2 linked regions of the Arabidopsis thaliana genome follow. The protein of the gene in region 2 interacts with the protein of the main gene of each other region in a pairwise test. Each region holds a gene or a part of one and is shown on either strand. Other genes may lie near its edges.

Region 1 (8,543 bases), 6.8 Mb from region 2:
GATATATTGATACTAGACAGTCCCCATAATCCAAATGAGTTCACGAGTACTGAACCTAATGGGCTAAAGTCCTAAACTGGTTCCTGTATACATACACATTGGCATCAAAAACAAGAAGCAAATACCTGAAAATATGAAGTAGTTGCTGAAACTCAGAATCACCAGGGAAAAGAGCTTGCCTCCTAATCATCTCGGCTACAAAAAAATGGGGAAACATCAGTAATCCAAACAGTAGAACAAAAGACCATTAAAAGAGACATAGTAGCTGATTACTAACCAAAGATGCATCCAACAGACCAAATATCAACAGCAGTAGAGTAATGAGTAGAACCAAGCAAAACTTCAGGAGCTCTATACCAAAGAGTAACAATCTCATGTGTATAAGCCTTAAGAGGCACAGTAAAAGCACGACTAAGACCCAAATCAGCAATCTTAAGAATCCCTTTATCCTTATCCAATAGAAGATTCTGCGGTTTAAGATCACGGTGAAGCACACCATGGCTATGACAATGAGCCACACCTTTAAAAAGCTGAAACATAAACCTCTGCACAAGAGAAGCCTCAAGCGGTCTAGGATTCGAGCCCTTTCTATGAGAATCTATAAATTTCTTGAGATCAGTGTCGAGATACTCAAAAACGAGATAGAGATTGGATTTGGGAGAGTGAGAAACAGTCGAATCTTTCGATTGAATAACATGTTCGACGCAGAGGAGACGAACGATGTAGATTGATTGAGAAAGCATTTGGAGAAGAGAGATCTCACGGAGAGCCGTTGGTGGTATACCTTCTTCGTCCATTTCGAGCCTAGTTTTCTTCAGAGCGACGAGTTTTCCGGTGGTTTTCTCCATTGCTTTGTAGACTTTTCCATAGGTTCCTTCACCGACCTTTTCGAGCTTCTCGTATTTCTCCATTGATGGAGGATTTTGAATTGAGACTGATGAATGTTTTTTGTTTGGGTCTTATAAACCCTAAAGCCCCTTTTCGATTTTAGATCTGGTAAATAAAGGCGCCTCTTTGCTATAACGTTTAACATTTGAATCCCTCGCACGCTTCACACGTACCAATAATATTTTATTAGTCAAAGACTCAAAGTCATTTTAAACAGATAAGTATAGTATAAGATATTTGCTTGATTATGTTTATAGATTTCAATTCATTATCCATGGTGAATGTTTAGTTGAATGAATCTATGCATGATCTTTGATGTAAAGCCGGCCCTGAGTACAAAAAGCTAAGCTCATGCTTGCAGCCACAACCCATAATAAAGATTTTTCAGTCATTTATTTTGCTAAACTATTAATATTACTTGAAGAGTCGATCATTTCGCATTAATTGGTTGAAACTTCGAGCTTTTCCAACTTCATTTTAACTTTAATCTAGTATTTAACATACTAATTAATAAGACTATAACTGTTTTAGCTTGTATCCCATTAGTTTTCTCCTTATACGTTAATGTTCAATGTTTGGCACAAACTCAAAAAAAGAATTTCTTACTACGTAGTTTTTTTTCACTTACTCAACCAATTGGAAAAATGTTTAGGTTTGATTTTTTGTGTTCGAATTTGTAACTTCAATTATTTTGGGACTGTGAACTCTTACTCATTATTCATTAATGGTGGGTTGTTTCTTGTGTTCTAGGCTTCTAGTATACATGATTCAACTTCATATGATATTGATTCAGTTTCACATTTTTGATTTATTTCAACTTTATATTCTTCTTACACTCATTCCAATTTCATGTATGGTAATTGCATCAGTTTTGATCGATAGTTACATTAAGAAAACCATTTCTTTTTACAATAAAGATACTACAACAACAACAAAAATTCTGACTAGGTCTACGAATGTGCAAGGTATGCAATTTCACAAACTCATAAAAATCATCATAAGAAGTTCTATGTAAAGGGGAAAGAAAAACAAGATTATAAACAAATTGTGTGTTTCATGTGGAAACTAAACAATGGCTGAATATTAAAAAATTATTGGACTACTATACATAAAAGAAAATTACAATAATGAAAAAGAAAACAAAGATAATATTCAATGATAGGGCATTGACTAAACGAAAGAAAATGGCTTAAAGACTTTAAAGTTGATTATGAAAAACCGTTACTGATTTACTAGGGTCAATAAACTTATTTGCAACCATTTTATTAAGGGAATTTAATGAAAAAAACCGTCAGCTTTGGTCAGATCTATTTTTAAATTCTGAACTATGTTTTTAGTAAAACAAACTCTGAACTAAAACCTGTTAATAAACTTAACCCCATAGTAATTAAATATTAATGGGATATTAATTTCCAAAAATCGACCAAAGAACAATGACAGAATCCGTGATCCAACTGAAGATCGTCCACCTCAAAAAGTTCTTTATACACGTGAAAAAGTTTAAATGGTAAAATAGAGAACAATGAATTATGTTTCACAAGATCTTCATTTTCAAATTATTAAATTTAATCTTTGCATATTTAGACTTGCAGCAATTGTCAACAAGTCGGACACAACAAACGTTCATGCAAGTGTAAAGCAATGCCAAAACCACCCAAGAAACCTCAAGGACGACCAAGGAAAAAACAGAAAACAATGGATGAAGAGAACCCTATCACTCAGCCAATACAATCTTCTCTTCAAAGTTAATGCTTGACAAGTCTTTACTTTAGAATATCTTGTCCATCTGAAACGATTGTTTTTTTTTTGTGACAAATATTGTTGTGTTGCAACAGCTTCGATAGTTATGTTGGTTGGATTTATTTAAGCATGACTCTTTGGATTATTTTAAGTTATTGTGTCTTTCTTTCAGCTTTTAAAATCCAAACTAATTAAGCAATTCAAAATTATTTAGAATGTTTTTTTGTAATAAATTCAAAACAGTTTTAAAGAACATCACGTGGTTTTTGCGCTAAATACAAATGTCTCATTGTTTTCTTTTTAAAAAATTAATATCTCATTAATATTTAATTACTGTGAAGTTAAGTTTATTAACAGGTTTTAGTTTAGGATTTGTTTTACTAAAAACATAGTTTAGGGTTTAAAAATGGATCAGGACAAAGTTGAGAGTTTTTTTCATTAAATTCCTTTTTATTAATATTTTTTCTCTTCCAAAATATTCATAAATTGCTTTGTCTTATAAAATTCTGTACACGTAAAATGGTTTAATTGTGTGCGTTACATTTGGGGGACTTGGAAGACCATGAGCATAATAAGAGCACTCAAAATCATCACCACCTAACAAAAAATTGCAGAAACACATTTATTGTTAATAATTAATAATTAAAAAATGTCCAGGCCAAAAAGACAGCTCAAATGAGCGATTGCATGGTTGACACGTGTAAAGTTTTAGCGGCGTTAAAAGATACGGTCTACGTAGTCACGCACACACACCAAAGTTTCTCTCCATTTTCTTATTTCCTTATTTATTTAATTATAATACAGAATCAATCAAACGGTGACGGTTGAATTATCACCAAAAAATAATCACTAAATTTTTCAACCTTTGTAACAGAGAGATCCACTCTGTCACTTTAAACTTTTTAGCTGATTTTTTCTGCCTGAGTTTAATTAAAAATCTCCTTTATGGAAAATAAAAATAACTTTTAATCAAAGAAACAAAAAAAAAAAGAGATTTTTCAGACAGAAGAAAAAAAGAAAAAAAAAGTCTGGCGTCTTCTGCAGAATTCACATTTGGTGTCTGCTGCTGGCGTTGGTCTTTCTCTTTCTCTTTCTACTTTTTTTTGGTTCTGCGATTTCCATCAAAACCCTTTTCCCAACAATCTTGGTTTTGTACAGAGAAGAAGAAGAAGAAGAAAGGCACACAAAATAACCCATGTCTGGTTTATACAATAACTCATCTTACTTCTCTCCTGCTCGAGCTGCTTCTCCTCAGATTAGAAGCACTCCTGAGATCGACAGGTTTGTTCCTAAACTCTGATTTCGAGACACTCTTTTTATTTTGGTTTTATGTGAAAACCGATCTGTGTTCTGTTTCTTGCTTGAACAGCTCTCAGTACTTGACGGAGCTTCTCGCTGAACATCAAAAGCTTACTCCTTTTATGCAGGTCCTACCCATATGTAGCCGTCTATTGAATCAAGGTTCCTCCTTTTCATTCTGATTCGGATCTTAATTTTTCAACTGTATATACCCTTTCTGTTTTCACTAGATTGGGATGACTTAAAGTCCTTAAAAGTTTCTTTCTTTTTGTCAGCCAATTTTCTTACAAAATGTTCAGTTTTAGTTAATTCAATTAGTCCATGAGAGTGAGATCAAGTTCATTGATTTGATTTCTTCAATTTGTCTCATTGAATCCAGCATTACCTACGTTAGTACTACCCTTAGTGTCAATTGCATAATATGAATCTTTGTTGATGTGCAGAGATGTTCAGGGTCTCTGGAATGATGTCTAACCAAGGATTTGGTGATTTTGATAGACTTCGACACAGAAGTCCCAGCCCTATGGCTTCTTCTAATCTTATGTCTAATGTCTCTAATACCGGGTTAGGAGGCTGGAACGGCCTCTCTCAGGAGGTATCATCATCATCATCATCTACTGTTTCTTAACTCAACCATCCTCTTATATTCAGTTTCACCTTCATTCACACCGTCTTAGTTTTTATGCTAGATTACTACAATCATTTAGTTTAGCTTCTGTCTTTCGCAATGCTGATTGATATTACCTGTGCTTCTGCTAAGCATGATGAGATGAGCTAAAACACTCAGTTTCTTGCAGAGACTTAGTGGAACACCTGGAATGACAATGGATTGGCAAGGTGCACCTGGAAGCCCCAGTTCATACACCGTCAAAAGGATATTGCGTCTGGAGATTCCTGTAGATAACTATCCTAATGTGAGTACTTCTAGTCATCTTGATGTGTTTGCTCATCATTTGCTCCATATTTGATGATAATATTTCTCAACTTTCCATTCTTATTTCCTCTGTTTTATCAGTTCAATTTTGTTGGACGACTTCTCGGCCCTAGAGGCAACTCGTTAAAACGCGTTGAAGCTACCACCGGTTGCCGAGTATTCATCAGAGGGAAAGGGTCAATCAAGGATCCCGAAAAGGTGAGAGCCATGAATGAACCATTTGAGACTGTGTCAAACACTTTCACAGTTTAACCTACTGGTTGGCTCTGAAATGATGTTCTGGTAATTAAAAGAGTATTGAATAACATATCGTATGATTGTGTTTTTGGATGATACAATGTAGGAAGATAAATTAAGGGGAAGACCTGGCTATGAACACTTGAATGAGCAGCTTCACATCTTAATAGAGGCAGATCTTCCAGCTAGTATTGTGGAGATACGTCTGCGACAAGCTCAAGAAATTATAGAAGAGTTACTAAAGCCTGTGGTACATTTTCCTCCTCCACTACTCTCAATTATTTATTCTGTGATATGTTTTGGTATCAGTACAAGGCATTAAGAGAATAGTATAGTCTTCCTTGGAGGGTATTAAATCGAAAGGACACGTTTTTATTTTAGGTTCTTCCCTAGCTGTTTTGCCCCATTGAGACTCTATAGTTATTACCTGTAGGGCCTCTATTCTTTGTCTTAGCGTTCAGATTTCAGTACCATTTTTGGAATTTGTGGCTAGTGTTCAATTATGCAGACATGTGTGACCACTTCACCAGTCAAAGTAGCAATTGGTGTAATCGGAAACGCCAAAAAAGCCATCTTTTTTTCAAACACTTCATTTTTATGTCTTTGATATATTCTTGGTTAGTACCATAACATTTTCTTGGTTGTTTGTAATAATGAAGGACGAGTCGCAAGATTTCATAAAGAGACAGCAGCTGAGGGAACTGGCATTGCTAAACTCGAACAACCTGAGGGAAGAGAGTCCGGGGCCAAGCGGAGGTGGAAGCGTTTCGCCTTTCAATTCAAGTGGTAAACGCCCGAAAACAGGATGCTAAGTAGCGTTTTGTACGTCTCGCCCAAAACGCTCCTTCAAGCCTTATAATGGTTACTTCAACCAAAAGTACATGTCTGCATGCATTACACAGACGCACATGTGTATATCTGGTTTCTCCAGTAGTGGCTGCAATGGTGGTGGTCTGGTCAAGGCCTGCCCTGGTCTCTCTCGGGTGAGCGACCCTGTGGCTTTCGTTTTTCTTCTTCTTTATTTTAAACTTTTGTTTTTCTTTTTCCTCATCAAAAATTCATTACAGATTATTTAAAAAAGATTCATGCAAAAAAAAAAAAAAAGAGTATGAGATATATAATATATATAGGGAGAAAAAGATGTGGTGGCTTGGGAGGGCGTGGACTGAAAATTCTTATTGTATAAACATAAACAAAAAACACATTTATTGGATTGATTCTTATCGTTTGATTTGGTTTATTTGTTTCTTTCATATATTTTTTTGCCTAGCCCTATAGATATACCATTGAACTTATTCCTTTGATTTGAGATTCCTTATAGTGATAGTCACTTTTGTACATTTTGGGAATTTATGGGCTGGTCTCTTGAATTTGGGTGGTAAGGGCTTGTTGGTTTTGGATGGGACTAGGAGAAACTCACATCTTAACACATAGCTTAAGTTGAGACATACCCTTTGTGTATGTTGTACATATAATTGATAGGAATGGTTATAGTAAATTTTTTGATTAGGGAACGAAGTACATAGGATTAGGAATCTTGAAGGTACGATCCCCTGAATATTCTCCTTGTAAGTCACTCCATTGGTCGCCTACATTTCCCCATATCCTGTAACCTTCTTCCATCATCTCCTTTCTGATTCTTGTTTTGTATGTTGTTGCGCTTTGTCTTTTGTTATCCGCTGTCCTGCAAGTACGTAGTAATATTGTCCTCACTGACTGTGACTTTGTCTTGGTAAAAAAAAGCTTCAAAGTAAGTATGCTTCGTCCTTTTACCTCATAATCAGCCTTTCATAACCAGTGAATCCTTGGTTATGCAAATTCTCTAGTGTTGCCTGGCGAAGGGTCTCTTCGTCTCTTCCGGTTACTAGGAAAACTTTGAAGCCTGTTTCTATCAGTTTATAGAACAATTCAAGAACAGGTTGTATTGCTGGAGACTCTCCTTTCATCGCCCATGTTCTAAATCCAGTTGGATCATAAGGGTCACATCTACATGTTAACTCATCATTAGCCACAATTTTCTAACTTTTGGTATCCAAGAATCACAACATCTTAAAACTAGTTTTAGTAAAAAGAAACAAGTGTGTATACGTACCCATATCTCTTAAGCCGATAGTAAAAGACGTTTGAGAAGCAAGTATCATCAACATCCAAGATCCATGCGTCCATGCCATCACCAGGAAGGATAATCTCATTGAGATAAACTTTGATTTGGTCCACAGTCAACTGGACGTCTCTGTCATACTGACCAGCAAGCATATATACCTCAACGTAACGCAGACACTGCAGAGGAACAATGCGCCACGCACGTACATTGTTGGTCTCTACTGCTAGTCTCCAGCTTAAGCAATAGCTAGCACCATAATTTCCATCCATCGGCATCCATGTACTTGTACTGGTTGCCACTGATGATATTGTTATAAAAATGAAAAGCAACGTCTCTCTACTACACTTTTCCATTGCTCTTGAATATTCTTCCTAAGTACCCGTGAGGGTTTTATGCAAAGATAGGTAGAGATCATCATGAGTACAAAGTGTTAGGAAATACTAGTGACTAGTGAACAAAATTTGTTGAAAAGGAAAAGAACACAATACAAGAGAGCATAGAGTTGACATAAAGATAGAGATCAAGAAAGAGAGCTTGGTTGGTGAAACAAGAAAACTAAGAGGAGAAAGTAGTAATGCTTGAAAAGGGAAGATCAGAGTAATAATACCTATGATGTGGTGGTGGATCGGATCAGCTTAATAGTAATGTAGCCGTGTTATAGATTAGTATTTAAAGAGTTTTGGTTCGGTAGAAGATTCTGGATGAGGTTTCATCCACTAAGTAGCACCATTTTTACGACCAATTAACTTAATAATTATGAAGTAAGCAAAAGAATTTATTACATTAAAAATTATGATATGGGGTCAAAACCAGCACCGAACATATTCACTAACACACATCTATCGCCACTATATGTATTCCAAACACATTCACGTTAATCCTCTACTATCTCTAATAATACATCATTGCATTTACTAAGTGGCGCATATGATATCTTTTAGTTAGTATATAACAACACTAAGTGGATGATCTCACTAGTTTTTTCCTCACGTATAATATAAATTTCTATGTTTATGATATAAACCCACTTAAAGCAATTTCCATGGTACTATTCTACCCAAGTTTTAGGATTTCACTCGAGAGATAAGCTGGATGCTGTTTTGAACGATCATCTAGTTTGGTTAAACTAGTTACATGTGTAAGTGTCTCCCACAGTACATGTTATATAGTAGACAAACCAAAAATATAATCGTATAGTTTCTTAGCTAACTAGGATTGCCTTATTGCTAATTATCAAGAAATTAATGGGATTGTGCACAAATGTGTCAAACCAACAAAAAATGGACCGACCAACTACATTTATGGATTGGATGCTGACAAGGAATGGGATTGTTATTAGTT
Region 2 (7,206 bases):
AAGAAGAAGAGAATATGGTTCTGTTTGTTACCAAAAGCTTTTCTTTTTAGTTTTTACTAACCATTGACTACATACATACATTAATACATAGATGAAGAAAGATCTTGGTCGGCATAAAATGTATGACTTAACAGAGAGAGCCCACACTTGTGTAGCTTACGTGGCAGGTCAATTAGAGATGATCACATAGAGTCACTGCCCGTACTGCCCTAAGGATTCGTAGTAACAACTACGGGCAGCTTCACACTCTTCTCTTTCATCTCTCATCTCTCTCTTCTCCTATATCTGAGATTCTGAACAACTCTTCTTTGATCACAAATCTCACACTTTTTCCATTAATGAACAGAGCTCATTTCTTCTAGTCCTTTTCTCTTTCTTTCTTCCTTTTTCCGCTAATTACAGAGCTTTTCTTTGGTACGTTCTTCTTCTTCTTGTATCTGTTTATTTTGTTTCTTAGATTATTGTTTTGTATGTTGTCAAATATTGAAGTAGAGGACAACCTCTAAACTTGGTTGTTTCCTCTGTTTTTCATGATTCTTTCTATGATTGCTCTGTTTTGTCTTTTTTTTTTCTCGTCAATAACTTCAAAACGAAGATTGCTCCATATTTGATAAATGGACAAGAAAGTTGTCTGAAAATTTTGCTTTAGTTATTATTATTGCAGATCTAACGGTTTTCATAACTGTTAAATACAGAGTGAAGAAAGAATGGAGTTGAAAGAACAAGGTATGAGTATGAGGTTGTCTCTGGTTCTCGGTAACGCTTTAGTGCTAAACTGCGCCGCTTTGGCTTTAACGGCTACTATGCTCTCTTCTTTGCTAGAGCTCTTCTCTCAGGCAAGCTTTTTCTATTTTCAACTTTTTTTTTTTTCCTTCTTAACAAACGTTTACAAGTATTCGCGGTCGCACAAAACAACAACTTTATAAAAATAGATTTTTTTCTACACAAAAGTTTCACACAAATTTTTTTGGCTACAAAACTAAATCTTGACCGACTTGAAGCGTTACTTCATCAGAATGGGTGGTTGGAAAAATATATAAAATTAAAAAGTTTTGGTTAAATATTGTGAGGGTATGTATATAATAATAGCTATTAGTTGAGGACGGTTGCTTTTAATGGGGAATATTAAGATAGATTTTTAAAATCTAAATTATAAATTGTAGGTCCAAAAAAAATCAAAAAGGTATATTCCATATATTATGCTTCCAAGTTTTTCAAATTTAATGTCTAGAAGAAGCCCATGTCCTAATTTAGTATGTCGGCCCAATTTGTAAAATCATGTTAACTTGGTAAAAGATTGTTTCTGGTAGTGATAAAATGAATATGAAGCTGCAGGTTACTGTCTTGAAGGGTGATGTTATAGAGAATGGATATGAGGTGGTTGATGCAGTGGAAGGCAATGGAAACAATGATGATAGTGGTGATGATGGAGGAGAAGACGAAGAAGGCAGTGCAGATGATGCAGAAGGAAAGGAGACCAAGAAAGGACCGGTAAGTGATCCTGATTTGAACGGTGAAGCTGGAGATAATGATGATGAACCTGAAGGGGATGATGGTAACGATGACGAGGATGATGATAACCATGAGAACGATGATGAAGATGAGGAGGAGGATGAAGACGAGAATGATGATGGTGGTGAAGAAGACGACGATGAGGATGCGGAGGTAGAGGAGGAGGAAGAGGAAGAAGATGAAGATGATGAGGAAGCGCTTCAGCCACCAAAGAAGAGGAAGAAGTGAACAAACCGCTTTGATCTCCTAACATTTTAGATTCAAAAATCAAAACTTGTTATCGGTTTTTACCTGAAGAGGAGAGAATCTTAAGGCATCATCAGCTTTAGCTTCAACTGTGTCTTTGTTGTTCCATAAACCAAGACTTTGTTTAGTGTAACATTTTCAGATCCAATGGCACCAGCTTTCTTTTCTTTAGCCCATCATTAATGATATATGCATATCTCTATGAGGTCATCAAATGCGATCAAATTTATATAACAACTTCAAGGGTCAACTTTAGCTGTCATAAATAGTTAAAAGAAAGTTAAATCCTATTGAGTCCTCATAGAGCAAACCTTTTTCCCCAGAGGTCACAATACAGATTGCACAGAGGTCTTTAACGAATAATCACAATGATATTACTTGAGCCACAGACTGTCTATCGTATGATATCGGACAAGAGTGACATCAAACAGAAAAAAAAAGAAAGGAAGAAAAAACAATACAAAAAAAAACTAAAACGTACTGACTTTGATAGAAATGTTAAAAAGAAATCCCCAGAAACTGCATGTTTATCATTCTCATGCTCAGCCCACACCATCTGCAAAAGTTGGAGTTCAAGAAAACAAAACAAAACATAACTCTATCAAAAGCTGAAGACAAAAAGAAAAACATATGGAAACAAGAGCAATGCTCTATCTTTCTGGTAAGATAACCCCGAAAAGTGAAAACAATAGAAATCAAAGGGACAAACATAAAAAAAATGTTAAAACTCAAACTTAAGTCTAAAACCATGAGTGCAACAGCATGAACAGATGCTATAGTTTACAGTCCGTTTAAAGACGTTAGCACCAAAACCAGATGAGTGGAGAGATGGTGGACGTTCAGTTTATAAAACCCAGTGCAACACTAAAACAAAAAAAGCCAAGAGACAAAAAGAATGTAACAATATTCGTCCCCACCATCACCAACCTATAGAGAAACTAACTTCGATAAAACAAATGGCACTTGAGAAAACTGTAAAACCAGGGACAGTAAAGAAAAGAAAACAAAACATAAACCAACAAAAGGAAAAATAATGGAGAAAACAAAAAAAACAAAAGTATGGTGGGTCACATTGCATCTACTTGAAATAGAGTCGAAGCAAGATTCATGAATAATGAATTACGGCAACCGATGACAATGCTAACCTACCTCTAGAACATAATTTAGGTATTTAATTCCTGTAGCAGTTCCTCCTAGGAATATACATATTTAGGCATTTAAGCCAACTATTTGACTAGAGAGGCATAATAATGTCAGATAAAATTCCGGTACTACCACAAAAGCCTTAATCCATTTATCTACACATGACGGAGCTACAATGAATTTATGCTTATCCAAAGACATTCAAACCACAATATTAGCACAAACATTGCTACAAAACACCAAAGGTTTCAGTGAACGTACCATGAATAGTTTGAGTAGCCATGAAAGGAGGAGCCACCAGCATCCGAATCTTTACCCGTCCCTCTTTTTCCACCAGCATCCGAATCAGGATAAGTACTAGGCAGACTCTGACCTCTAAAGTAAGAACCTAGAGCTGAAAGACCAGCAGCACCAACGCTTGGATCAACACCAATCCCACCCATTTGACTAGACTGTACCATATCAGAACCCAACCCGCCATGTGCTAGAGCACCCGCTAACATCGGATACATGTAACCTCCCCCAGCTGCTGCTGCTGCTGCTAAAGCTGGATTTCCCAACATCCCAGCTCCATAAAGCGGATGGTATTGGTTCCCTAACATAAACGGCGAAGCAGCCATTCCACCACCGTTAAACACATGTTGACCTTGTACCTGCTGTTGCTGAGGCTGTCCATGATTAGCCATCGAACCCATACTAATCTTCACCGGACCAGGTTGATCATGCCCCTTTCCTGAAGCCGCAGGACCCATAGAAGCAAGCTGGCAAGTGGCAGTTCTATTAAGAATCCTCTTCTTCGGTTCTTTAAGAGCTTCTTTAGCTCCTTTCCTAGTCTTGAACATAACAAATCCAAACCCTTTAGCCTTACCAGTAGCCTTATCTATAACAACGGTACACTCTTCAATCTCACCATAACCTTCAAAGACTCCAACAAGAGTCTCGCGAGTCGTCTCCCATGGAAGACCATAAACGAAGATTTTCCTGTGTGTAACATCACGATCTGCGGCTTCTACGACGGCGGAATAGATCGAAGATCCGATTCGAGAAGCGGAACAAACTAGATCGACAAGCTGGTCCTTGGAATAAGGTTGTAGAAGCTCACGGAGCTCTTCTGGGTCGAATTCGTTGTCTGATTCGGAATCGCTAGAATCAGAGCTGGAGCTTGAACTTGAATATGGCGTTGAGGATTCTGGTTGTTGTTGTTGTTTGTTAATCTTCTGTTTCTTATCGAAATTCGTGGATTTGGATTTCACGAGTTTGCGCTTCTTAGATTTGTCTAGGGTTTTCGCCATTGTAGTAGAGGATAAACGAGTCAAGAAGCTTTTAGGGATTTTGATTTTTGATTTTTGATTTCAGTTTCCTGTTTCCCCTCGGGTCAAGAGTTCGATTTACTTTATCCTCGAGATGTCGTTTTTCCGATTTTTTCAGTTTAATTTTTTTTTTATTCGAGTATTTTGCTTTGAATATATTTTCAAATATTTAGATTATTTTTGGATTGGTTTATTTTGAATATTTTTATTATTTTACATATTTTTAAATATTTGCTTTATATTTAAGATAAGGCCTTAGATCTTTGTAGAGGTTACATGGCAAGATGCTGGCTTTAAGTTATGATGGCTATACATCAACCGGAATACCATAAGCTCCCTAACTTTACGGGGTGTGAACTTTGTGGTACTTTTCTTTTAGAGCGCCGTCAGAAAAGATTCCTGGCTAGGCAGAGGTTTTAGCCATATTGGTGGTGTCGCTCTGCTACTTGTTTATTCATTCACCAGTTGAAACTTTTTTTTCTTTCTTTTTTATCTTTATGTGTTATGAGAAACTAAAAAAATAGTCACCGAGATCTTAGAGAGGGTTTTGTTTTTGTTCTTAAGATTTTCAGAGTTTCCCCATTGGAAAGAAAAACAAAGCCCTCATAAGATCATGATCACAAAACAACGAAATCAAATGACCAAAACCAAACCAAAGTTGATTTAGCTGAAGCATACTATAGATTAATACGAGTTGATTCATATGGATGGATGGATAGCTGCAGAGAAGACCAAAAACCGAGAAACAAGATTGATCCTCTTAAGAAATCGAAAAACTGAAAACAAGATTGATCCTCTTAAGAAAACAAGCATTCGCATCATCGGTCACTGTGAGGTCATTGTGAAAATCCAAAGAAAAAAAAAAAAAAAACAAGTATGCTTTGCTACCATAACCAGAGTTATATAGAATATGAATAACGAGCAGGTAAAAAAAAGGTAAATCCAGAACAAAGCTATGTAAGGTGAAAAACAAATTGGGTCCAAGTACCGATGACCAAAAACAATCTTGAACTTAGGCAAGAAAACTTGGCAACTGATATCAAAATGGACTCTTAAATACAAAAGAGAAAGGGGCGACACTACCATAAAAGAGGAATGTGATGAAAGAGATTGAGAAGCTTATAAAAACCTATGGGGAAGAAAACAATGCTTGAAGGAAAGAAAACTCAGGTTGTTTATTCCAGAGAAAATCAACTTGAAGCTTTTGAAAGAGTCCCAAAACTTTTTCCAGTACTCAAAAAGACAGATTTAAAACAAGAATGTAAAACCATTATGTCTGATCCTACAAACGGGTCTCAAGACAACTGCAGCTGGAAGATACAGACTTTTGGCAGTTATGACATATAGTGGACAAAACTATAAATGTCATAAGCTTCTTCTCCAGCTATAGCGAACAGATATTCAATGAAAATGCGGGAAAACATAAAACCAAAAACAAGGAAAAACAAAAGAGAAAAACATACGCCATGCCACAGAAGAAAACCAGACGTGAGTTTGATGGGTAAGGAGAAGACAGAAGACCATAATGGGGGACTCCAAAAGGGAAAACAAAGAGATAGCAAACTACTTTAAACCAATATTGATCCTAGTAACTAAATCTTCTAGACAAAATGACCACATTTCACTGGTTTATGAGAACAGAGCAGAACACCAATGACAGACTTCCAGAGAGCAACAGAAAATTCATCCTTTGAGCACACATCTCCCTCAAAATGGCTCATATAGGGGTAGATACCTCGTTAAAAGAGACTATAAATAATGAAACTAAAAAAGTAGGTTTGAAACATCAGGCATAGAAAATAAAGATCCGCAAAAAAAACTCCTGCAATTCCCAAAATATCAAGTTGGAGTCGAAGATACCGGACTAATCATTAGCCTAATCTATAACTTGAAATATCAGAGAACATGGTCATACCACTTGGGTTCTCTTATCTCAGATACCAAGCACGTTCACCATCAAAACCAGCACCAGCACCAGCACCCGCACCAACACCGTTAACATTACCATCACCAACATATTGTCCCACCATTCCCATATGATTCGGTGGCATCATAGGTCCTTGATTCATCATACCCGAGCCAAACATACGATAATTCTGTAAACCAGCAACCATCGGATTACCCATCATTGCACCATACATAGGATTAAAACCAGGAGGAGGCTGAGAATGTCCATAAAAGGGCATGTTCTGTCCAGCATACATTGACATATTCTGCTGCTGCTGATGTCCCTTATCAAGTCCATGACCCAAATCAATCCCAGGCAAAGCCATTTCACTCTGATTACCCGTATGACTCAAATCAATCTTCACAGACTCAACCGGTTGTTGTTGTTCTCGTGGCTTTCCAGAATTAAACGGCCTAGCTGGTAAACAACTAACAGTTCGATTATACATTCTCTTCTCCGGATTCTTCAACGCCGCTCTCGCTCCTTTACGCGTCTTAAACAACACAAAGCCAAAACCTTTAGCTCTTCCTGTATCTTTATCCATAACCACAGAACATTCCGTTATCTCCCCATAAACCTCAAAAGCCGCCTTGAGATTCTCATGCGTTGTATCCCATCCAAGACCACGCACGAATATGTTCCGTTGAGAACTATCTCTATCCGCTGATTCAAACACTGCTGAGATCAATTTAGAACCTTTCTCAGCAGTTTTGTAAATTAGGTTAATAAGCTCCTCTTTAGAGTAAGATTCAAGTAGATTCTTAATATCTTCCTTATCGAATTCGAAATCAGAATCAGACTCAATGGTAACAATCGGGACCGTAACAGGCTTTGAATCGACGATCTCTTCGGATTCATCTGATGATCTCTTATGTTTCTTCTTACTCTCCTTCGATTTCTTAGGAGATGGAGATGGAGATGGAGATTTCTCCTCTTCTTCTACTTCTTCGTATTTCTTCGATTTCTTCTTTGATTTCTCTGGTTTCTCTTCCTCTTTGGATTTCGATTTATGTTTTTTTGAGATTTTCTTCTCTCTTACAGCGAGTT

What was found. Proteins that work in one complex are often made in the same cells at the same time.
Region 1: the proteins of UBA1A (region 2) and AT2G38610 interact in binary tests that used the Arabidopsis thaliana proteins (3 or more experiments, as listed by UniProt).

What each region holds. Positions count from the first base shown.
Region 1 is NC_003071.7:16,144,919-16,153,461, reverse strand, and holds AT2G38610 (RNA-binding KH domain-containing protein), read left to right. Parts: upstream 1-3,527; 5' UTR 3,528-3,823; coding exon 3,824-3,909; intron 3,910-3,997; coding exon 3,998-4,089; intron 4,090-4,370; coding exon 4,371-4,522; intron 4,523-4,724; coding exon 4,725-4,841; intron 4,842-4,942; coding exon 4,943-5,059; intron 5,060-5,204; coding exon 5,205-5,348; intron 5,349-5,757; coding exon 5,758-5,910; 3' UTR 5,911-6,356; downstream 6,357-8,543. Other genes in the region: CDKB1;2 (cyclin-dependent kinase B1;2), read right to left, coding at 126-195, 278-911; AT2G38600 (HAD superfamily, subfamily IIIB acid phosphatase), read right to left, coding at 6,605-6,782, 6,872-7,084, 7,191-7,555.
Region 2 is NC_003071.7:9,386,258-9,393,463, forward strand, and holds UBA1A (RNA-binding (RRM/RBD/RNP motifs) family protein), read right to left. Parts: upstream 4,250-7,206; 5' UTR 4,194-4,249; coding exon 3,150-4,193; 3' UTR 2,793-3,149; downstream 1-2,792. Other genes in the region: AT2G22080 (uncharacterized protein), read left to right, coding at 708-836, 1,336-1,740; AT2G22088 (uncharacterized protein), read left to right, coding at 2,127-2,283, 2,545-2,792; AT2G22100 (RNA-binding (RRM/RBD/RNP motifs) family protein), read right to left, coding at 6,140-7,206. UniProt on the Arabidopsis thaliana protein: Acts as a component of a complex regulating the turnover of mRNAs in the nucleus. Binds with high affinity to RNA molecules that contain U-rich sequences in 3'-UTRs. May function in complex with UBP1 and contribute to the stabilization of mRNAs in the nucleus.